Diceros bicornis minor: one gene and its partners. The protein of the gene in region 3 interacts with the protein of the main gene of each other region in a pairwise test. Links are inferred from orthologs where the notes say so. Each region holds a gene or a part of one and is shown on either strand. Other genes may lie near its edges.

Region 1 (7,997 bases), on a different chromosome or scaffold from region 3:
AGAGATCTTCCATACCGAGTGCTTAGTGAGTGCTCAATCCATCGTGTCTCTGAATGTTGCTGTTGGTCCCTGCCCATCATGCCCCCAGCATAATCCAGCTCTGCCTTCAGCTTCCCACCTCGGTCCGTGCCTCATCACTCCCCCGGCCCACCTCACTGGAAGTCCTAGAACCATATTCCTTTCCTTTATTTCTAATACTGCCAATCCCAGGCCCGGTCCATTTGTCCCACACAATATCTCTGAGATCTTTCCTTGCTCTTCATTCCACCTGCTACTGTTCTAGTCCAAGCCGCTCATTCACGCGTTCACCGAAGCTTAACTGAGGATGTATTACAGGCCAGGAAATGCGCTGGCACAGGGGACAGGTCAGCAAACAAGACAGACATGGTCCCCCTGACACTCTTCCCTCTGCCCCAGCGCTCCTTGAGTACCTGTCAGACTAACTGTCCTCAAACACCACTTTCACGTTGCTCTTCTTCTTAGTAACGTTCCTGGGCTCTCTACTTCCTACCTCATCAAATCTCAATGTCTCTGTTTGGCCTTCAAAAGGCCTCCACGATCCGCTTCCCCCTCATCGTCATCATCATCATCATCGTCCAAGTAGAAGCAGCCATCATATGTGACCGTCTTACTGTGGGCCAGAAACCGTGCCAATCCCTTCATAGGCATTAGCTCCTACAAAGCCTCACAACCAGGCACGAGACTCAGCATTTTCAGTGACTGATGCAGCACAGGCTCCAAACGTCAGGGGGGACCCTGGCTGCCACGCCAGGCCACGCAAACCTGCTCTGTTCACAGCCATCCTGAAAAGCGGGCGTAATGATCCTCCGTTTGCTCACGTGTAAGCTGAGACTCAGAAGGGTCAAGGGTCTTGCCCAGGGTCACATAGCTGATAAACAGCAGCACCAGGATTCAAACCCAGGAGCCTCTAACTCCCGAGCTTCACCCCATCTCACAGGGCCTCCCTGAATCCACATTGCACAACCCTTTCTCTGGGGACACCAGGTCCTTCTCTGCAATTTAAATAGGCTTCACTCCTGCTCACCTCATTCATTCACTCCTATAATCATTGGCTGAGGATCCCACTTTGAGCTATGGCCTGTGCAAGAGGAGGGGACCTCCTTAAGGGCAGGGACTATGTCATTTCTGCTGTGATATCCCCAGAACCTGGTACGTTACCTAGCACATAATTGGTGCTCGGCAAATATTTGTGGAATGAATGAATCAATGCAAGGATGGGCAGGGCCCCTTCCTGTATACCGTCTGGAGGAGATGTGGAGGCATTGGGAAGAATCAGTAGCTGATTCCATGTTCATGGCCCTGGAGCCGTGGGGCAGCGTGGGTTGCAATGTTTAATACCTGTCTGAGCCACCAGGCCAAGCCTGAACTTCCACATGAGACTCAGAGATCCTTTGTTCCCCTCAGAGGAGCAGACTTCGGAGTCAGAGGAGCCCTGGGTTTGAATCCCAGTTCTTGCGAGTTAACCTCTTGGAGCCTCTTTCCTTCTCTGCAAAGTGGGGATGTAATAACCACCTTGCGGGGTTCTAAGGCTTAGATGGGTAACATTAGGCACGTTCCTTTCATGTATTAGGACTCACTCAAGGTTCCTTCTCCTGCTCAAAGATGTTTAAAACCCGGGTGACTCATGAAACTGACAGAACCTCAAAAGACAAGAGATAACATGAACATCAAGGAGAGCTATAGAAGGTGAGGCGGGGGCCGCAGCAGACTCACAGCTGAGTGGTGGTGGGGGCGAGTGGCTCACACCTGGCCCAGGGTGCTGGGGGTTACCAATTCGATGCACACATGTGAGTCTTTGCTCCTTTAACTACCTGCTGCCAAGCAGAGGGGGAGTTCTAGGCAGCAGGACTCGGTGCTCCCGTCCGTCCCTCTGTGCCAATTCTCATCTGCTCTGGGGTGGTGGTGGGAATGAGAGGCGTGGGGAGGGGCTTGGCTTCCCTGCCACCTCCACAGCATGTTCCCCACTGTCCTGAAATAGAATGCCCCTTAACTTAGCAAAAACAAGTGTGAAATTTTGTCCAAGTGAGCTTTTTTATAAAACCAACAAACCAAAGAAAAGTTGCTTAGGAACAGATTTGTGCTGACTCGGATTCCTGTCCCCCCCTCCCCAGGCTGGCACTCATTGCTGGTCACCCAAACCCAGCCTGGCTTCTTTCCTCCAAGACCCTCTGCAAGGCCCGCACCCCACAAACAAGTCACTTGACCTGGATTCCGGGCTTTCTCCATCCCTTAGCATGGTGGGTGACGGGAAAAAGCAGGGTTTTGGGGACCCCAGCCCTGGCTTCCACCACCAGCGCCCCGTGTGGCCTTCAGCAAGTCATGTCATCTCTCTGAGCCTCAGTTTCTTCATTGAAAAATGGGCATAACACCTAGGTCAGTGGGTCGGAGGTGAGGACTTGCTGATAGAACTTGTGGGAGCCTTAGAGGGTCCAGACACAGAGGAGGGCTCAGAAAGTATTAACCCTCTCCCTCCCCGCACACCAGGACTGCGGATGCCTCCCCTCCAGCTTGCTTCCTCATCCCACCCTTGCTTCCCAGTCCTCCAAGAATTGAAAGCCCCTAGATTTAAGCAGCAGATGAGTTTTCGGGGCTCCTTTACACCTTCAATCCCGCAGTCTGGGCCAGTGGGCAGGGCAGGGGTGAGTGGCAGCGTTACAGGGGATGCTCAGGGAGGAGGGGACAGAGCTGCTCTCTTCTCTGCCTGTGCCTTCTGTGTGTCCTTCCCACTTGTCCACTTGTCCTCTGACTTCCCCATCCAGGCTGCCAGGGATGGGGCCCCCGGGCGCCAGCCCTTACCCGAGAAGATCCTCCCGTCCCGGGTGAGGAGGGCGGCCCCCACAGGGAAGTGACTGTAGGGGCAGTAGGCTGACTTCTTGGCCTCCTGGGAGGAGAGCAGCAGCTGCTGGACCTGCTCGGGCTCCAGGGTGCAGGCGGGACGCTCCTGGGCCATGTCGGTTCCTGGGCTGCGGAGGAGAGGAAACAAGCTCGCCGTCTGCCTGAGCTGGGCCCCACTAAGACGGCAGCTCCTCCCCCCGGGTGTGTCCCTGCGGAGGGGCTGCCAGATGCCCGCCTGCGGGGATGCTGGGCGGGGCCCGCTCAGGGAGAGGAGTGTCCAGTAGTTCTGAGTCAGAGGGTGTGGTGTGTAAGGCTGAGCTAGTGTGTGTCCAGCATGGAAGGATGTGTGCTTCACACTCTCCCTTGGGACCACTCACACTGCTGCCTCACTGATGGGTGAGTGGGTCAGGGGACGGGTGCCACCATGCTGGGGGTGACTGTGGACACACACTCCTCAGAGGAGATGCTGTTGGGCGGGTCAGCATGAGGTCTAGGAAGTCCCAGCTCCAAGGGCTGAAACTCTCTGTTGAATGACTTCTTCTCTCTGTCACTGAGGGAAGGAGTGAGGCTGAAAGGGAGGGGCTGGGGCAGCCACATTCTTGAGACACATAGTGTGAGTGCAGCAATAAGATTGAGGAGCTTCCTTATTTCACCCATTCTCCTTCCAACTCCTCGCTGCCTCAACACAGAACTTAAAAAGTATCTCAGCTGGAGGGAACTTCAGAGATCATCTACCGGGGCCTTCTCCTATTTTTGTTGGCAAAATGAACACTGGGTTGGTGCTAAAAGAAATGGGTTTGCATCCTGGCTCCACCATTTTCCACATGTGTAATGGGTGGCAAGTTACGTGACCTCTCTAAGCCAGTTTCCTGGTCTCTACAGTGGGGATAGCGTTAATCTCTGTGCTACGTCCTCAGATCACAGAAGAGCTTGAGTGTGGGGGTTTGGTAGATCCTAGTTTGAATTCCAGTTCTGCCACTTATTAGCCGTATGACCTTGTGGAGGTCATACCACCCCTCTAAGCCTCAGTTTCCTCATCTGTAAAGTGGGTGCACTAACGGTATTTCACAGAGTTGTTGCGAGGATCGAATGAGGTAATGTGTATACAATGCATATGGTTGGAGGATCCTGTGACATCATGATGTTAGCACACTTTGTGGCTCCATGCGGATTGGGTTATTGTCATTAAATGATTTGGCTAAGATCACATAGGAAGGCAGAACAGTGTCCAGAGGTGTCCAAATGTCCCCAGACCCCCAGCAGGCAGGAGTAAATCAGCGGCTTCTCTGAGGGCTTGGATGGGGGGTGAGGAAGGGGAAGGGGGAACGGTAGGGGAGGGGGCAGAAAATGAGGCCGCGTCTCCAGGTTCTGCATGCTGACATCTCTGTGCTTTGCAGCCCAGCATCCCTGTGTCCTGCACCTTGGCCCCTCTGTGTCCTGGGCCTGGAGCTCTCAGCCACGTAGAGACCCTGCTGGGCCACTGTAGAGTTGGGCACTTTGCCTCATTTCCTCCTCCCCTCCCCTCCCTTCCCCCCTTCAGAATTCCCCCACCCCCTTTCTGCACATCCAGCCCTCAGAGAAGCAGCTGGTTCCCTCCTGCTTGCTATTGCATTTTCCTCCTGGATCTACACCTTTGGCATCTAGAGCAGTTTCCTGGATCTGAGGCAGGGCAGGCAGAGAAACCACTGGGAATGCTCTCCCGGTCTCCTCTATTCCTGCACTGCCCAGATGCCCTTTCCCCAGGGAAAGAAAGCAAAGGATGTCCTGGGACCATGTGTACCCACTCAACATGGGAATACTTCTAAGGCTTCTGGTGGCCAAGTATAACTACAACTGGGAAAAGGGGTGTGGTGCCCTGCTGGCCTGCCAGGCCTGTTCCTGCCCTGTCTTGACTCACCCCAGCTCTGCCCAGACCCAGGGCTGGACTCCTTGGCTCCCCAGTTACAGGAAAACTGGGATGACTTCCAGGCTAATTATGATGGCCGTTGGCACCTTTGAAGTTCTTTCCCGGCACATGGTAATAAATGGGGACAGCGCCCATTGCAAACTCCGCTGTATGGAGCTTGGGAGCCAGCAGTAGCTCTAGATTTCCTTATAGAAGGGGCTTGGGGTGGCCATCTGGATGGAAAGGGAGCATGGGCCTGGAGACTTTCTTAGAGCTAAGTTATAGATCAATAATATTAACAGAATTTTCTAAACATGCTTTAATCTCCACTTTATATAAAATTGAGAGAAATTAATTGCCCAAAGAATTAACTCAAAGAATAGGAATATCCAAGGAAGGTATTTTGAGTGGTGGTGGAGATTGTCAAGGGCCCAAAGTTCCCCCACCCCCATCCCCTAGGCCTTTCCTCTGTGAAGAGAACCACCCAGAGTCCCTGTGTTAGAGCTCAGATACCACCCACTCATTCATTCAATGAATAGTTACTCATAATAATAGCTAACTCTGCTTTAGCTCTTTCCATGTGCCAGGCCCTGTGCTAAATGCAGGACTTGAATTATTTCATGTAATCCTTACCACAAGGTACACACTGGCCATATTATTGCCTGCGTTTTACTGATGAGGACACTGAGCTCATGGGGATCAGAAATGGATCTCAAACCCGGGTTTGTCTGCCTCCATCCGAATCCTGGACTCTTGTCCATCCCTGAACTCATGCGGAGCGGGTATAACGGACTGGCAAATCCTCCTTCTGCCTCTTATTACCAGCTGGGTACCTAGGCAAGGTAGCTCATCGCTCTGTGCCCTGCTTTCCTCATTTATACAGTGAGACAACTCCAGGACCCACCTAGGGTGGCTTATGGTGACCGTAGCCTTACTCTGCTCGAGAAGGTTTCTCATTTCTTTTATTTCGTCCCCTTTAGGGGAGACCTCCTGATGGGCTGCCAGTCACTGTGCTTCCACTCCCTGGTGGGCCTAGGCAGTTGACACAGGATGGCCCATCAGAGACCTCACCTTTCTGCTGGGAATGTTGGTTTCTCCCACTGTGGTGGCTAAGCTAAGAGGATGTGACTATTGCTGACGGCCAGCTTGCCCTCCGGGTAGAGTGAGCCTGCTTGCAAAGTGAAGCCAGGTGGAGAGAGGCAGAGGTGAGAGGTGGAGGGAAAGAACCCTGATTTCCCTCTGAGTGCCTGGATCCAGCCATGCCTGAGGCATGCTTCTAGACTTTCCTTCTATTGAGCCAGTAATTCACTTCTTGCTTAAACTTTTTTAAGTTTTGTTTCTGTCAGCTCTATGGCATCTAGGCTAAAATACTACTTCCTAGGATTGTTGTAAAAATTGAGTGAGATGTTATATGTAAAGCTCTTAGCACAGTGACCGGCACGTGGTAAGTGCTCAACAAGTATTAGCTCCTATTATAATGAAAACTGTGTGCCAGGCCCTGTGCAGGGCACTAGAGAATCAGTTGAATGAGACTTGGTACCTGCCTTTGAGGAGCTCATACTCTAGTGAAGGAGACAGGCAAGTCAATAGATAGGTATAAAACACTATAACACACAATTAGGTACTGGGTCCTGTGACAATACTGAATAACTAATTATCTGGAGGGAGCGGTGGGGAGGTGGGCTGGAGAAAGCTTCCCAGATGACAGGAGGCTAAGAGGAGTCCTAAATGATGGCTGGATGTTCAGAGTGGACAATGTGGGTGTTATGGGTTGAATCATGCCCCCCCCCAAAAAAAGATATGTTGAAGTCCTAACCTCCAGTACCTCAGAATGTGACCTTATTTGGAAATAAGATCATTGCCGGTATAATTGGTTAAGATGAGGCCATACTGGAATATGGTGGGCCCCTAATCCAATATGACTGGTGTCCTCACAAGAAGATGGTCATGGAAGACACAGAGACACAGGGAGATTACCATGTGTAGATGGAGGCAGAGACTGCAGTAAGGCATCTACAAGCCAAGGAATGCCAAAGATTGATGGCCATTACCAGAAGGTAGGAGAGAGACATGGAACAGATTTTCCCTTACAGACTCGAAAGGAACCAACCCTGCTGACACCTTGATTTTGGATTTCCAGAATCTAGGACTGTGAGAGAAGAAATTTCTGTTGTTTTAAGCCACCCAGTTTGTGGTACTTTGTTATGGCGGTCCCAGGGAACTAATCCAGTGGGTATAGCAGATGCTGTCAGTGCCTCATCTACCCCCTTAGCCACCCCAGAGGCCACCTCCAGCTTTAGTGGATAGATCCTGGACATACTCATGGCTTCCTACCTTATGCATACCCTGGGCACAGGAGTGTGCTTAGCCCATGCATAGGGGAGGCCAGAAATGTCAGGGAGTTAACACTCCCTAGAGGGATTAGGATCCATAATACATCAAGAATTCCTAAAATCAGTAAGAAAAAGACAAACATCTCAATAGAATAGTAAGCAAAAGGCTTGAACAGGTATTTTACGGAAGAAATAGGGCTGGAAAGAACTTCTCTACAAATTTTCAAGTCTTCGAACTTGGCCACATAAAAATTAAGGAGTTTTGTTCAGTCAAGGACTTCATAGACAAAGCTAGCAGAAGGTTAAAAAAACTGAAAAAAAAATTTCGATGGCTAGAACAATAACAAACGAATAGCGTAGTGATTATGTAAGAAATTGACAGCAAATCAACAAGACACAGACAGGAAACTCTATAAAGAGATGGACAAAGGATATGAATGGGCAATTTATAGAAGGGGGAACCCAAATGGCAGGAAGTATTTGCCCAATTTCCTTATAGTCACAGAAATGAAAATAACACAATGAGTCACTTTACACCTATCAGAATGCCAAAAAGAAAAAAAACTAGGATGACGACAAGTGCAGGCAAAGATGAGGGGAGACTGGAACACTCACGTGCTGCTGCTGGGGTTTCAGACTAGTACAGCTTCCTGGAGAGCAATCTAGCAGGATTTAGGGAAATTAGGTATGCATTTACCTTGAGATTCAGTGTTCCCAGCCCTAGGTAAACAGAGACACTCACAAGGATCCATAAGGGGATTTGTATGAAGAAATTTTCTGCAAAGTTTTAAAGTTTTACTTTTGGGCCGGCCCCGTGGCTTGGCGGTTAAGTGCGCGCGCTCTGCTGCTGGTGGCCCAGGTTCGGATCCCGGGCGCGCACCAACGCACCGCTTCTCTGGCCATGCTGAGGCCGCGTCCCACAT
Region 2 (7,523 bases), on a different chromosome or scaffold from region 3:
CAGACAGGTGGGGGAAAGAAACAGCACTGAATATCCTGCCTACCTCACTATCCCTCAAGCAGATTATCCCACAAAGCTGGTTTAAATCTGTCACGTCAACTCCAAGTCTCTCTAGTAAAAACCCAGTTCCTCCTCAGGCCCTGCATTTATGAACCCATATCCCAGAGTGGGGAAGGGTCCAAGAGCAGGGGCTAGTTATTTCTAACCCATTTGACTTAATGAGCTTCTATTGAGCATCTGCTGTGTACTCAATACTGTGGCAGAACCCCAGTAGGAGATTTTAAAAAAAGACACTATCTTCTCAGTTATCCAGATGAGGAAAACTGCACTGATAATGTGACAGTGACATCTGGTACGAGGCAGTATGAAGTACAGTTTGATCTACTGCCAGTCATGGTATTAGAACCAAAAGGGGTTTTAGAGATGATTTCCCCTTCGTTTTACAAATGAGGAAACAGATTCAGAACACCAGAATGAGGACCAAAATCCCTATTTCCAATTTTGCATGGACCAAAAGCCCTATGCAATTTACGCCACATCATAAGATGTAATGAATAATCTGACTAATAAATGGAGGATTGTGAACTAGAGCCGTCAATAATATCTGATCTAGAACATCATGGTGGAAGGAAATCTAGAGACCGTCTATTCCAGACCTTTCCTTTTACAAAGAAGACTGGGTTCACGACCTGCTCTGTCTCCACCAGATGAGAAAGGAGGCCCTCACCTTGAAAGACAGTCCCTAATGTGGAGAGCAGCACCACCTCCTGGCTCCACCATCCTGGACTTCAGTTGTTAACCTCTTATTATAGCACCTTAATATATTTGAATGTTGTGTTTGTGTGTCTGTCTCCCCACTGGTCTACAGCCTGTATGCAGGTAGCCTCCCCTTATCTGCGGGAGATATGTTCCGAGACCCCCAATGGATGCCTGAAACCGAGGATAGTACCAAACAATATACAGGCATACCTCCAAGATACTGCAGCTTCAGTCCCAGACCACGGCAACAAAGCAAAAATTGCAATAAAGCGAGCCACGGGAATTTTTTGGTTTCCTAACGCATATAAAAGTTATGTTTACACTATACTGTAGTCTATTAAGTGTGCAATAGCATTATGTCTAAAAAAGCAATGTATACACCTCAATCAAAAAAATACTTTATGGCCAAAAGATGCTAACCATCATCTGAGCCTCCGGTGAGTCGTAATCTTTTTGCTGGTGGAGGGTCTTGTAAAAAACACATAAATAAAACAAAGTGCAATAAAACGAGGTATGCCTATGTATACTATGCTTTGTCCTATGTATACATACTTACGCTAAAGTTTGATAAGTTAGGCACACTAAGAGATTAACAACCATAACTAATAAGAAAATAGAACAATTATAACAATATACTGCAGTAAAAGTTATGTGAACGTGGTCTGTCGCTCTAAATATCTTATCGTACTGTACTGCACAGAAGAGCCGGGTTTCATCGCAATTGAAGACTTGCTTGGGCTGGTATCCTTGCTGCTTAATCAGCTTCTTCAACTCTGCCGGAAGCGTGGCAGCGGCTTCTTCATCAGCAGGCGCAGCCTCTCCAGTAATTTTTATATTTCTCAGTCCAAACCTAGTCCTGAATCTGTGTAACCATCCCTTACTCGCAGTAAATGTCTTGTTCTCACTTGTTTCAGGGGATCCCTTGCTGAAGTCTTCGTACAGGCTCAACGCTTTCTGGCGCAACATGTTGCCATCCAGCGGAACACATTTCCTGTTCATGTCTTCCACCCACAAACTTAAAGCCTTTTCCATCTTAACTAAGCATTTCCCACGCACTGTGGCCGTCACTTTTGCAGTTTGAGGTGCGACAGCAAAACTAGCCCGAATTTCTTTTTCCTTCTTCACGATTTCACGGATGGAAGATTCGTTCTTACCGTAGATCTTAGCAACCTCGGCATACGATTTTTTTTCTTTCCTTATTAAGTCCAGAACTTTCACCTTTTCACTTAAAGGAAGCACTTTTCGGCTTCTCTTTGGCGCATTCGAATTGCCAACGCCGCTATTCTTGCGCTTTGGGGCCATCATTAAGTAAAATAAGTGTTACTTGAACTCAAGCACCCGATGCCGCCTCAGTCGATCTGATAACCGAGAGGGCCACTAAGTGACTAATGCGGGTAGCATATTACAGCGTGGGTCCGCTGGACAAAAGGAGGATTCACATCGCGGCAGGACAGCGCGAGATTTCACCACGCTACTTAGAAGGGCGGGCAATTTAAATCTTATGAATTGTCTATTTCTGGAATTTTCCATGTAATATTTTCAGACGGAGGTTGACCGCGGGTCACTGAAACCTCGGAAAGCGAATCCGTGGTTAAGGGGAGACTACTGAACAGGGATGGTTTACTCCTCTCTCTGTCCCTGGTACCAAGCCACAGGGCCTAGCACTCAATAAGAGCAAAAAAAAAGTCTTCAATGATCTTGACCCTGCCCCTCGAAGAAAAAGAGGCAAAGCCCCAGGAGTGGCGGAGAACTCCCGATGGAAGCTGGAAACAGCATGGATTCCCCAGGAGGAAACGGGGCTAGGAGCCAGAAATTGTCCCTATCAACGTCCCTCCACACCCACGCCGGCACACACATCTGTCATTCATTCTGCAAGCACTTACTGAGCACCACCTCCGTGCCCAGCACTGCAGAGGACAGAGACAAATAAGGCACCACTCCTGTCCTTGCGGCCTGATGGGAAAGGCAGCCAGGACAAAGGCGAGTCCACGTGGCGCGGGACGTGCGCTGACAGGCTGGCACCTGCCGCAGGCGCTCCCGCCCTGCCCTCCCATCCGATCCCCTCCCACCTCTCGGAGCAGAACTCACCCGACCTCTCCACTTCCCCCTCCCCCGACCCCACTCCTCTCCCTCTCCTCTCAGAACCCGATCCCCTCTCACCCCTCCAGCTGCTCGGGATTCACCTCCGCCTGCTGCCCCCGGCACCGGAAACCTGCCCGGCCCCACGTGGTTGCCGGCAGCCGGACGCGCGGAACGCCTCTGCCCAGATCGGCTGCCGGAGAGCGCCTTTTGCAAAACACCACTCGCCCGCGCTTCCTCCTGTGAGCCGGCTGTCATTCTAGGGAGCAACTGCCCCATGTTTAACTTCCGGCCCTGGTCTTGCATGCTCTTCCGGCAAGCTCCCTGTTTTTTAAGATTCTGTGACTCACTTCCTTCGTTCTCCAGCAAATTGGCTTCCCGAGAGGTGGCGCTCGCGAGCGCCTGACCTGAAAGGAGACAAGTCGCTCTCGCTTGACGTGTCCTCATTCTTTCCAGCCTGTCAAGCAATGAGTTCTTAATTGAGTACTTACTCGGTGCCAGGCCGTAGTCCAGGGTCTGGGGCTATAGCAGTAAACTCTTCTGTGGCATCTGGTGGGGTTGGGAATGGGGGCAAACAATAAACAAACGAGCAAATCAATACGTAATGTAGTGCATTATGTAGATGCTGCTAAAAAAAAGCAAGGCAAGGGGGAAAGATTGAAGGAGTAAACTACTTTGCAAGATTGGCTGGGAAATCTCTGACGAAGTGACAATAGAACAGACCAGCATGAAGTGAGGGAGCAAGTCCGCTGGTTGTCTGAGGCCGAGAATTACAGGGGCAAGGGGTGGCAGAAAATGCGGTTGCAGAGGGGCCGGATTATGTTGGGGTGGGAAGCCACTGGAGGGTTTTGAACAGGGCATGACATCCTCTGATACACATTTAAAAAAGTCATTCTGGGGGCCGGCCCGGTGGCGCAAGCGGTTAAGTGCGCGCGCTCCGCTGCGGCGGCCCGGGGTTCGCTGGTTCGGATCCCGGGCGCGCACCAACGCACTGCTTGGCAAGCCATGCTGTGGCGGCGTCCCATATAAAGTGGAGGAAGATGGGCACAGATGTTAGCCCAGGGCCGTCTTCCTCAGCAAAAAAAGAGGAGGATTGGCGGATGTTAGCACAGGGCTGATCTCCTCACAAAAAAAAAAAAAAAAAAGTCATTCTGACTGCTGTATGAGGAATGGATGGAATAAGGTACAAAAGTGGAATCAGAAGTCTTTTCAACAAATGGTGCTGGAGCAGTTGGACATCTATAGGCCAAAAAAAGAGAACCTCCTCCTAAACCTCCTACCTTAAACAAAAATTCACTCAAAATGGATCATAAACTTAAATGTAAAATATAAAAGTATAAAATGTTTAGGAAAAAAACTTCAGTACTGTATTGTATATTTGAAAGTTGCTAAGAGAGTAGATCTTAAACACTCTCATCACAAAAAACAATTTGTAGGGGCCTGCCGGTGGCGCAGTGCAGGTGCTCCGCTTCAGCGGCCTGGGTTCTCCAGTTCGGATCCTGGGGGCGCACCCAGTTGCGCACCGACACACCGCTTGTCAAGCCACACTGTGGCGGCGTCCCATATAAAGTAGAGGAAGATGGGCACGGATGTTAGCCCAGGGCCAATCTTCCTCAGCAAAAAGAGGAGGATTGGCATCTGATGTTTGCTCAGGGCTAATCTTCCTCACACACGCACAAAAAATTTGTAACTATGTGTAGTGATGGCTGTTAGCTAGACTTTTTGTGGTGATCATTTAGCAATATATACAAACATCGAATCATTATGTTGTACACCTGAAACTAATATAATGCTATATGTTAATTATATCTCAATTAAAAAAAGAAGGGCCAGCCCCGTGGCTTAGCGATTAAGTGTGTGCGCTCTGCTACTGGCGGCCCGGGTTCAGATCCTGGGCGCACACTGACGCACCGCTTCTCCAGCCTGTAGCCGTGTCCCACATACAGCAACTAGAAGGATGTGCAGCTATGACATACAATTATCTACTGGGGCTCTGGAGGAATAAATAAATAAAAATAATTATAAAAAAAAAAAGAAAAAAATCTTTTTTGAGAGCTAGGCAAAGAGTTTTTAGACTTGCCGCCCAAAGCACAATCCATTAAAAAGGAAAAAGTTGATAAATTGGACCTTATCAAAATTAAAAACTTTTGTTCTTTGAAAGACCCTGTGAAGAGGATGAAAAAACAAGCTACAAAGTGGGAGAAAATATTTACAAACCACATATCCAACAAAAGCCTTGTATCTAGAATATATAAAGAACTCTCACAACTCAACAGTAAAAAAAAAAAAATCCAATAAGAAAATGAGCAAAAGACAGGAATAGACATTTCACTGAAAAGGATATGCAGATGACAAATAAGCACATGAAAAGATGTTCAACATCATTAGCCACGAAGGAAATGCAAATTAAAACCACAACGAGATATCACTACACACTTGTTATAATGGCTGAAATGAAAAAATAGTGACAACGGCAAATGCTGTCGAGGAGGAGGAACAGGATCCAGTCATACAATGCTGATGGGAATGTAAAATGGTACAGTCCCTCTGGAAAAGTCTGGCAGTTTCTTATAAAACGTAACATGTGCTTACCATATGACCCAGCAATTGCACTCTTGGGCGTTTATCCCAGAGAAATTAAGACTTATGTTCTATTCACACAAAAACCTGTGCACAAATGTTCATAGCAACTTTATTTGCAATAGCTAAAAACTGGAAACAACCCAAACATCCATCAAATGAATGCTTACGCAAACTGTGGTCCATCCATACCATGGAACACTACTCAACAATAAAAAAAGAAAAGAACTATTGATACAGGCAGCAACTTGGATAGATCTCAAGAGAATTATGCTGAGTGAAAAAAGCCAATTACAAGAAATTACATACTGTATTATTGCATTTATATAACATTCTTGAAATAACAAAATTATGGAAATGAAGAATAGATTAGTGGTTGTCAGGAGTTAGGGATGAGGGAGAGGGCGTGGTGCCTAAAGGGGTAACACAAGGGAGTCTTTTGGTGATGGAATAGTTCCGTATCTTGATTGTGGTGGTAGTTACGCCAATCTACACGTGACAAAGCTGCATAGAACTATACACACACACACACACAAATGAGTGCATGTAAAACTATAGACATCTGAATAAATTCTGTGGATGATAACAATGTCACTTTCCTGGTTTTGATATTGTACTATAGTTATGCAAGATGTTACCATTAGGAGACACTAGGTGAAGGGTACATAGGACCTCCTTGTACATATTTTTTTTGCAACTTCCCATGAATCTATAATTATTTCAAAATTTAAAAAAATTTTAAGCAGAACCAGGAAAACTGGTGGAGACTACAGTAGTAGTCCAAGCGGGAGAGGATGGTGGTTTGAACAGGTGGTGACCAAGGAAAGGGAGACAAGTGGCTAGTTACCAGCTACGTATTTAAGGTTGAGCCCATGGGTCATGATGACGGATAGGATGTGGGACATGAATGAAAGAAAAATAGATGTTGGTTCCCAGTTTTCTTTTTCCTTTTTGGGGGGGAGGGGTGCGTTAAATATCAGTCTGATAGAATTATTTACAAAGCTCCTTTTTAGTGGTTGGGGTCCACCATACTAGTGCTTCTAAAACCTCTATGTAAAAACGAGTCACCTGGGGATTTGTTAAAGTGCAAATTCTGACTCACTAGGTCCGGGATGGAGACTGAGAGTTTGATGATTCCAATGCTGTTGATTGATAGACTCTACAATACCATATCCTAGAGCCAGGTTCTTTTAAGTTGATGATTTAAGCCTTACTAGGTGGGGAGTGTCTTGCCCAGGCAGTTGCTGGAGAAGGGAGATAGGCAATACAAAACAGGAAGGTCTCATTTCTTCCTGGAAGCCATCCTAATTTCATGACTCAGCCTAACCTTCCTTTCCCAACCCTACACACAACCCTCCAGGCTTCCACAGTTAAATGTTTATGCAAACAAAATCAGAAAACAATAAGAATTTAAGGCTAAAAATAATGTTAATGAGCATATGGACCAATCCCTTCTCCAGAAACTTTAGCAAGGGTTTCAGTCTCTGCTTGAAACCTCCAAGAATGGGAATTTACTACCTTAGACATCAGGATCACTGGCTTTCCACCCTCCCCTGGCTAAAAAAAAAAAAAAGTGCTGCTAATCGAATATAGTCACCCCCCAAAATAATAGGAGTAATGTTTGGTGAACTGCTCTAATGATACCAACTACTGTGGAGAGAGCAAGAGTGGTCACCGGGCTGCCTTGCTAGAGTAGCGGAAAGATTTTACAGAGGAGGTAGAAGTTGGATACACAAAAAGAAGATGGTAAATAGATAAGTCCGGAGGTATTGGGAGATCAGGAAAATAGCCAAGAGCAAAGGATGCAAGCAGAAAAAAATAGAAAATATCTGAGAAACTGATTAGATGCTCCTAATAGAGGGCTATGGAATAGTGGGGAAAAAGACTACCAGTTTAGTGACAAGCCTTGAATGCTAGTCTAAGAAGCTGAGACCTTTGGCTGTAGTTAATGGAAAGTCATTGAAGCTTTGGAGATAGAACAGTGACGTGAGAAACGTCTTAAAATTCTAGAACTCAAAAAAACTGTCGAGGGGCTGGCCCGATGGTGTAGTGGTTAAGTTCGCACGCTCTGCTTCAGTGGCCTGGGGTTCGCAGTTTCAGATCCC
Region 3 (7,857 bases):
GAGTCACTGTTCCCAGATTTGGTGTCAGTTCTGGTACCCATTTAACCGGTAAAAAAAAAAAAAAAAAAAAAAAAGTCGGGGGGTGATGATGATAATGTCTCAACCTGTCAGTTGATTATATTGGTAGCAGAAAGGCTAACAAAGCAGCATTAGAGCTGAGATTCTGCAAGGGTTACTGGCGATGGGCTGAGGTCAGAGAAGTATGCAGAAGGGGAGGATCCCTGGCACACAGGAGGTGCTCAACAAACGTTTGAAAAATACAAAACAATTACAACAGAATCAGAGTGCTCTGCAAACCACACAGTGTGACACAAATACTAGCTACCACTATTGTCCTTAAGCTGGGCGTCTCTCAAAGATAAGCAGCATCTGACAGAAGCTAACAGAAGTAGAGAGGAGGCATTTATTTCAAGTTAGAAGAACCCACAAGAGCAAACACAGTAAGGTGTACCTATCTGATGTGTTCAGACAGGGCAGAGCACTGGTTCTCAATGAGAGGTGACTTTGCTGCCCAGGTGACATTTGGCAATGTCTGGAGACATTTTTGGTTGTCATAAATTGGGAGAGAGTGCTATGGGCCTCTAGTGTCTAGAGGAAAGGGATGCTGCTACACATCCTACAATGCACAGAAGAGACCCCCACAACAGAGAATTAACACGCTCCAAAGGTCAACAGAGCCAAGGTTGAGAAACCCTGGGGTAGAGCAGCAAAGGCAGGTTCAAAATGAGGTTGGAGGAACAGATGGTGACCAGATCTTGGAGGGCCTGCCATGCTCAGGTGATAAACTTTATTGTCTATGTCTGTACTCCTTGAAATGTGATCAACAGACTAGATTCAGACCCCTCCACTGTGCTGCTCCCACATCCAGACTTTCTGGGGTGGGACTCTAAGAGCTACATGTTTTACAAGCTGCCAGGTGATTCTCTACCACATTCAAATTTAGGACGGCTTTGAGCAGTGTGAAGCCAGCTAAAGTTAAAGACCTGACGGGATAAGGGCAAGCTAGGCAGGGAGGCCTGTTAGGAAGGACTGGAACAGGCCCCGACAGCTGAGGAGGGCCTGGCCTATGGCTGAAGGAATGAAAAGGAGATGATGTAAGAGACATTCATCTCCTACCATTCTTCCACCAATCGCTCCACTCCAACTGTGCCAGCCTCCTTGGTGTTCCTAGAATACTCACCGCACGCTTCCTTCTCAGAGCCTTTGCACCTGCTGCTTCTCCCACCTGGAATGATCTTCCTCCAATATCCACAAAGCTCCCGCCCTCTTCCTCTTCAGCTCTCTGTTCAAACATCACCTTATCAACTATGTCTTCCTTAAATACCCTAATACTGTAGTTTCACTAGAACACAGCCCTGCCCATTCATTCTGTCTATGACTGTATGAATCAGCATGAGTCACCATCCCTCACCTTGGTTTATTTTTCTCATAGCACTTAACACCACCCAAATATGGCTTACATGTTTTTGTTTGCAAAACCTAAGAACCATGAGATCTTACCAGGGAATCTGTCTGGTTGTTCACGGCTGTATCCCTAGTGCCTAGAATCATGCATCACACGCTCCAAGTGCCTAATAAACATTTATTGAATGAATGAATAAAACAATGCATGGACATTAGGGACACGAGCTAATAGGATTTAGGTGAGAGGCAGGGCAGAACCATGGACTCGAGCATTGCGGAGGTTCCGGTTTCGGCACTACCACTTGCTAGATGTGTGATCTTGGGCAAACAACAGGCCACTCTGTGGTTCAGTCATTTCATCAGTAAAATGAGGATAATGATAGTCACAGAACCTATCTCCCAGGCACGCATGGAAGCACTTGGCACTAGGCCTTTCCTTACATGCAGTCAGAGCTGAACAAATATTAAGCTCTTGGAGGCACTGGTTTGGTGACCAGCTGAAGGAGGGAAAAGTAGTTTTAGATGCCCCTAAGGTTTCTTGTGCAGGGACTGGAAATTGGGGAAGAAGTCATACTCAGGCAAGAGAAGGGTAGGTGTGGGAGCAAAAAGGACCAAGGCAGGAGGGGTGCCTCTGCCACAGACGTAGCCTAAACCAAGGGTACAGTGTGTGGACCCCAGAGCCAAACTCTGCATGTAAATCCCCATTCCTTCACTCACTAGCTATGTCCGTAGGCAAATTACTTGCACCCCTCTGTGCTTCAGTGTTCTCATCTTGAAAAGGTAGATAACAGTAGTCCTACCTCCTAGGGGCTCCTGTGGTTCAAATAATTAGTTTACACAAACCACTCAGAACAGTGCTTGGCATACAGCAAGTGATGTCTAAGTGTAACCTTTATCATAATGACAGCATAGTGGTTAACACGGTTTCTGGTACAAGAGGTCCCGAACTGGATTCCTGGCTGCTCCTAGCTGGGTGACCTTGGCAAAGTTACTGCAAAATCTCCGTGCCCCCATTCTTTTTCAAAATTAAAATGACCTTCACATCAATGTGAAACCACACAGGCTGCAACAGAGTTAATTTCCGAAGGCTCTCCGCGCTCCACCCTCGGCCTCCAACTCCCCTTCCTGGCCCCCAAGCGCTGAGATCTGCTGAGAAACGTCCCAGACAAAAGCGCCAGGCAGAAGTAATGCACCACCGACCCTACCACGCCTGGCGAATCCGCCCCCCAATCCAAATGCCCACGCTCTGCTCCAGACGCGAGAGCTGCAATTCCCGCTCCCTCCTCCCCTCAAACCGCAAACCAGCCAGTCGAGGCCCCGAGCGCCCCCGGGGAGGGGCCGGGAAGAGGCGGGGCCCGGCTGCGACAGCGCGGCCGAGGGAGCCCGGGAGATGCGGGGGCTGCGCCCGCGCCCCCTCACCAGTAGCAGCTGTTGTAGACACAGGCGTCCCGCGGGGGGCTGGCCGGCTGGTAGTGGGCGGCTGCAGCAGCGGAGACACCCCCCTCCATGGCGGGCTAGCTTGGGTCGGGGCACCCGCTAAAGGCAGACCGACTGGAACAGCCCCCTGGCCGGCCTCGGGGAGGAGCCAGCGTACAGCAGCCCGCGCGGGTTCTCGGTGCGGAGTGGGCGGAGCCTGGGGGGGTGGCCGCTGCTGCAGTTCCCGGGGTAGGCGGGGCCGGGGCAGGGCGAACGGCGCATTTCCCCGCGCGCGAGGCCCTGGCGGGCGGTGCAAATTCCGGAGGGCGGAGCCTGGGCGGGACGCACCGCGCAGGTTCCGGAAGGGTGGAGCCAGGGCGAAGTGGGCGGATCTGGGGTGGGTGAGCGGCGTGAGTTCCCAGTGGGCGGAGCCCGGGACCAGGAGGACCGCGTGTTTCGAGTAGGCGGAGCCCGGCGAGGTGGGTGGAGTCAGGGGCGGGGCGGCGCTGGTGCCTGCTGAGGCGGGGCCGGCAGTGCTAGGGGTGTCGGTAACCGGGAGGGTCCGGGCGGCTGGGGGAGATGAGAGGTCAGTGGCAGGTGGCTTGGAGAAATGTCAGGGGAGGGCTTGGAGTTGGTAAGCCCTTGGACCCTGCACGGCACTTCGTGAGTCTCCCGGAGGAGTCTGAGACCCATCTTCCAGCCTGGGGCGGGTTGCCAGTTGTGGAGGAACCGGATGAGACGCCGAAGACTCGACGTGTGCGAGTGAAATAAGCGAACCTTGTGTGTGAAAAACGACGCTTGAGCGCTTGGAGCCTAGAGTCCGCGGGGAGCTGGGGAGGGAGGAGGGAGCGGGGAGGTTAATTCCAAATACTTCCTCATCAAGGGCGGTTTCAGAGAAGGCTATCACCCCAAAATCTGGCCGTATTGTAACATTTTTTTAAATAGGAAAATTGTACGTACTGGCTCAGAAAGATACGTTGTTTCCTTGATATAGTAAGTAAAAAAAAGTTGAAAAAGAGTCGCGTGGTATCCATTTTGTGTTAATCATGTATTTGTTTATTTGCTGGCAGTCTGGGAGGAAGGACACCAAATTGTTAAAACAGTGTTTATTTCTGGTGAATGAATGGTATGGAGGACTTTCACTTTATAGCCTTCTGAATTGCCTATATTTGCAAAGGTCATATATAGCTGATCAGGGTACTTCCCATTATAAAAACTGAAATTCTTAGGTTGGTTTATAGGCTGTCTACAGATCTCTTCAGTCTCGTGAGTTCTAAAGTACATAAATCCTAAAGACTGAGCATAAATCCTCGTGTTGGTTATCGATTTATTGCATCTCAGCTCTGAATACACACTTCCACATGGGGTTGACTATGATAGGGGCCAGCCAAGTGGCTCCGTGGCCTGTTGGTTAAGTTTGGCATCCTTTGCTTCCCTGGCCTGGGTTGGGTTCCCAGCAGGGATCTTCCTCAAGCAAAAAAAGAGGAAGATCAGCAACAGATGTTACTTCAGGGAGACTCTTCCTCAGCAAAAACAAAACAAAACAAAAGAAGTAACTATGATATAAGTGTAGCTATAAGATATAAGGAAACTCTATATGGTACCTAGGGCTGGTGAAGAGTACTTAAGAAGGACAAATTTATCAACAACAAAAAAACTTAACAACCCAATTAAAAAACAAGCAAAAGACCTGAATAGACATTTCTCCCAAGAAGATATACAGGTGGCCAACAGGCACATGAAAAGATGTTCAACATCATTAACTATCAGGGAAATGCAAATCAAAACTACAATGAGAATGGCTATAATTAACAAGACAGGAAACAACATGTGTTGGAGAGGATGTGGAGAGAAGGGAACTCTCATACACTGCTGGTGGGAGTGCAAACTGGTGCAGCCACTATGGAAAACAGTATAGAGAGTCCTCAACAAATTAAGGATAGAACTACCATATGAGCCAGCTATTCCATTGCTGGGTATTTATCCAAAGAACATGAAAACACGAATGCATAAAGATACATGCAGCCCTGTGTTCATTGCAGCATTATTCAAGACTTGGAAGCAACCTAAATGCCCATCAAGGGACGAATGGATAAAGATGATGTGGTATATATACACAACGGAATACTACTCAGCCATAAGAAACGATGAAATCTAGCCATTTGTGACAACATGGATGGACATTGTGAGTATTATGCTAAGCGAAATAAGTCAGAGGGAGAAGGTGAAATACCATATGACCTCACTCATAAGTAGAAGATAAAAACAACAACAAACAAATACATAGATACAAAGATTGGATTGGTGGTTACCAGAGGGGAAGGAAGGAGGGAGGAGGGCAAAAGGGATGATTAGGAACATGTGTATTTGCGATGGATTGCAATTAGTCTTTGGATGGTGAACATGATGTAATCTATGCAGAAATAGAAGTATAATGATGTAAACCTGAAATTTACACAATGTTATAAACCAATGTTACCACAATAAAAATAAAGAAAGCTTGATAAAACTATATATGTACTGGGCCGGCCCCGTGTTGTAGCAGTTAAGTGCACACGCTCGGCTGCTGGGGGCCCAGGTTCGGATCCTGGGTGCGCACCTATGCACCGCTTGTCAGGCCATGCTGTGGCGGCGTCCCATATAAAGTGGAGGAAGATGGGCACAGATGTTAGCCCAGGGCCAGTCTTCCTCAGCAAAAAGAGGAGGATTGGCATGGATGTTAGCTCAGGGCTGATCTTCCTCACAAAAAACAAAAAACAAAAAAACACCTATATATGTACCTCTCCAAAAAAAAAACAAAAAAGGGCAAATATGAAAGCGGTTTGGACCTCGTTGGAGAAGGCATGGGTTGGCTCCCAGATAGCAGAGAAGTTCACTGGTTTACCCAGGGTGGAGGTGGTCTGGAGTTGCGGGGCAAGCAATAGAGAAGGGGGTACAGGGCAGCCAGCAGTCTCTGCCATAATGTGCTTTCTTTATGCTTTAAACTTTCTCTTATAAATAGGAATTACTTTTTAAATTGAAAAAAATAGATCATATTTTAAATATTCATATGACTTCATGGTTGTGTTGTTGTTAGTGCCATGGAGTCGATTGTGACTCCTAGTGACCCTGTGTTCAGCAGAGTGGCACCCTACCTGGTCGTTTTGTTCCATCCTCTCACATTCCAGGTGGGTCAGGCAATGCTCTACTGCTATTCATAGGGTTTTCGTGGCCAGGTTCTTCTTCTTTGTCTCTCTTAGTCTGAAAACTCTGCTGAAACCTGCCCACCATGGGTGACTCTGCTGGTATTTTTGTGTGTGTGTGTGTGAGGAAGACCAGCACTGAGCTAGTATCTGATGCCAATCCTCCTCTTTTTGCCCAGGAAGATTGGCCCTGGTTAATCTTCCTCTACTTTATATGGGACACCGGCACAGCATGGCTTGACTAGCGGTGCATCAGTGCGCACCTGGGATCTGAACCTGCGAACCCTTGGGCAACCAAAGCGGAGCATGCGCACTTAACCACTATGCCACCGGGCCAGCACCCTCTGCTGATATTTGAAATCCCAGTGGCATAGCTTTCAGCATCATAGTAATACGCAGCTGCCACATTATGACAACCAACAGACGGGTGGTGGTGTTCCCTGACTGGGAAGCAAACCCAGGCCCAGGCCACTGTGGTGAGAGCACCAAATCTTAACTACTGGACCACCAGGGCATAGTAGAGACTATAAAAAGGGATATGGTTTCAGAGGAGTAGGAGGTGCTTAGAACCAGATTTTGACCTACAAACTCCAGTGATCTGGATGAGGAAGAAAGAAGAGATGCATTCAAGGAAGCCAATACCCAATGAAATTAGGATGTTAAAGGGCAGGAGTTTAGAGTAGGAGGAACACATAACAAAAGAAAGTATAAAAAGGGGCCACAGATGTGAAAGAGGAGATTCAGGAAGTCTACAGCACATAATACACCGAGGTTTAATAACAAAAGGGGGGTTTATTTTTTATCGGAGGAGGGAGTATTTTCAATGCTCAATATTAAGAGCTAGAAGAAAAAGGGAGAGATAATCCCATTGCCTGGGACCATATGATATGATGTGATCAGACAACTGAAAGGAAACAAGAATACCCAATGTCTGTTTTGCTTGCATTTTGTCTATCAAAGAAAGTGATTCTCAACCTTGAATGAATAAGGAAAATAGCAGTAAGAGGAAATTAAGACTAAGACGGGTACAGCGGTAGAAAGCACGAAATTGCCTTAAATGGGTTAAAAATCTTCAGACCCAGAAGAGTTATATCCCAGTGTACTGAAAGTGCTTTAGATTATGACCCCCAAATCCATAGATTTAGATTTTCTTATGGATCTTTGAGAAAATGATGGAGGAGATGACATAAGGCTGAATAAATACGACTACTTGCTGTCTTGAGTTTCATAAAAGGAAAAAAAATATGTATTCCAGACACTATACCCTGGAGAACTTGATGCCTATTCCCAGGAGGATTTGTGACCACGAAGAAAAAGTGATTATTTAGGGGGCCTTAGTGGTTTACCGAGCCCATTTCATGCCAAATGGACCTCATTTCGAGGAGGTTGTTGGAAAAATTAATTGATCATTGGAATAGGATTATAGCACAAGCAGTATAATTTGATTCCAAAAAACAGCTGGCCCGGTTTTATTAGTCCTGACTTGTTCGATTAAAAGTGAAGGCAGAAAGGCTGTTTATCAGCTCCTTTACCAGGAAGGACACTGAAGTGGCTCTCACAGTCAGAGGATGAGCTGCTGAAACTAGGGTCTCAAGGGACCAAAAAGCAGAACACAGTTCCCCAGGCCTTCTTTCTCCCATCTCTCAGTCTGTTTCTCAGTGCTTGGCTTCATTCGGAGGTGACTTCACTTCTTGCTGTGGGGAGGATGGCTGCTGGCAGTCCCGTATTCATATTTTCCAGGCTGGGCAGCCCCAGTGGAATGAGAAAACTTCTTTTTCCTCATAGCAATCACACAGAGTGACTTGTACCTTTATCTTTTACATTTCTGTACTGCTTGAATTTTTCACATGTATTA

What was found.
Region 1: the proteins of NTAQ1 (region 3) and CDA interact in binary tests that used the Homo sapiens proteins (3 or more experiments, as listed by UniProt). The two-hybrid records come from large-scale screens. The link is inferred for Diceros bicornis minor from reciprocal best matches to the Homo sapiens genes NTAQ1 and CDA.
Region 2: the proteins of NTAQ1 (region 3) and nucleoside diphosphate kinase A 1 interact in binary tests that used the Homo sapiens proteins (3 or more experiments, as listed by UniProt). The two-hybrid records come from large-scale screens. The link is inferred for Diceros bicornis minor from reciprocal best matches to the Homo sapiens genes NTAQ1 and NME1.

The regions. Positions count from the first base shown.
Region 1 is NC_080752.1:37,612,304-37,620,300, reverse strand, and holds the start of CDA (cytidine deaminase), read right to left. Parts: upstream 3,017-7,997; 5' UTR 2,972-3,016; coding exon 2,818-2,971; intron 1-2,817. UniProt on the Homo sapiens protein: This enzyme scavenges exogenous and endogenous cytidine and 2'-deoxycytidine for UMP synthesis.
Region 2 is NC_080757.1:35,293,781-35,301,303, forward strand, and holds the start of nucleoside diphosphate kinase A 1, read right to left. Parts: upstream 3,017-7,523; 5' UTR 2,920-3,016; intron 2,714-2,919; exon of another isoform or gene 2,643-2,713; intron 1-2,642. UniProt on the Homo sapiens protein: Major role in the synthesis of nucleoside triphosphates other than ATP. The ATP gamma phosphate is transferred to the NDP beta phosphate via a ping-pong mechanism, using a phosphorylated active-site intermediate.
Region 3 is NC_080760.1:38,988,567-38,996,423, reverse strand, and holds the start of NTAQ1 (protein N-terminal glutamine amidohydrolase), read right to left. Parts: upstream 3,007-7,857; 5' UTR 2,913-3,006; coding exon 2,824-2,912; intron 1-2,823. UniProt on the Homo sapiens protein: Mediates the side-chain deamidation of N-terminal glutamine residues to glutamate, an important step in N-end rule pathway of protein degradation.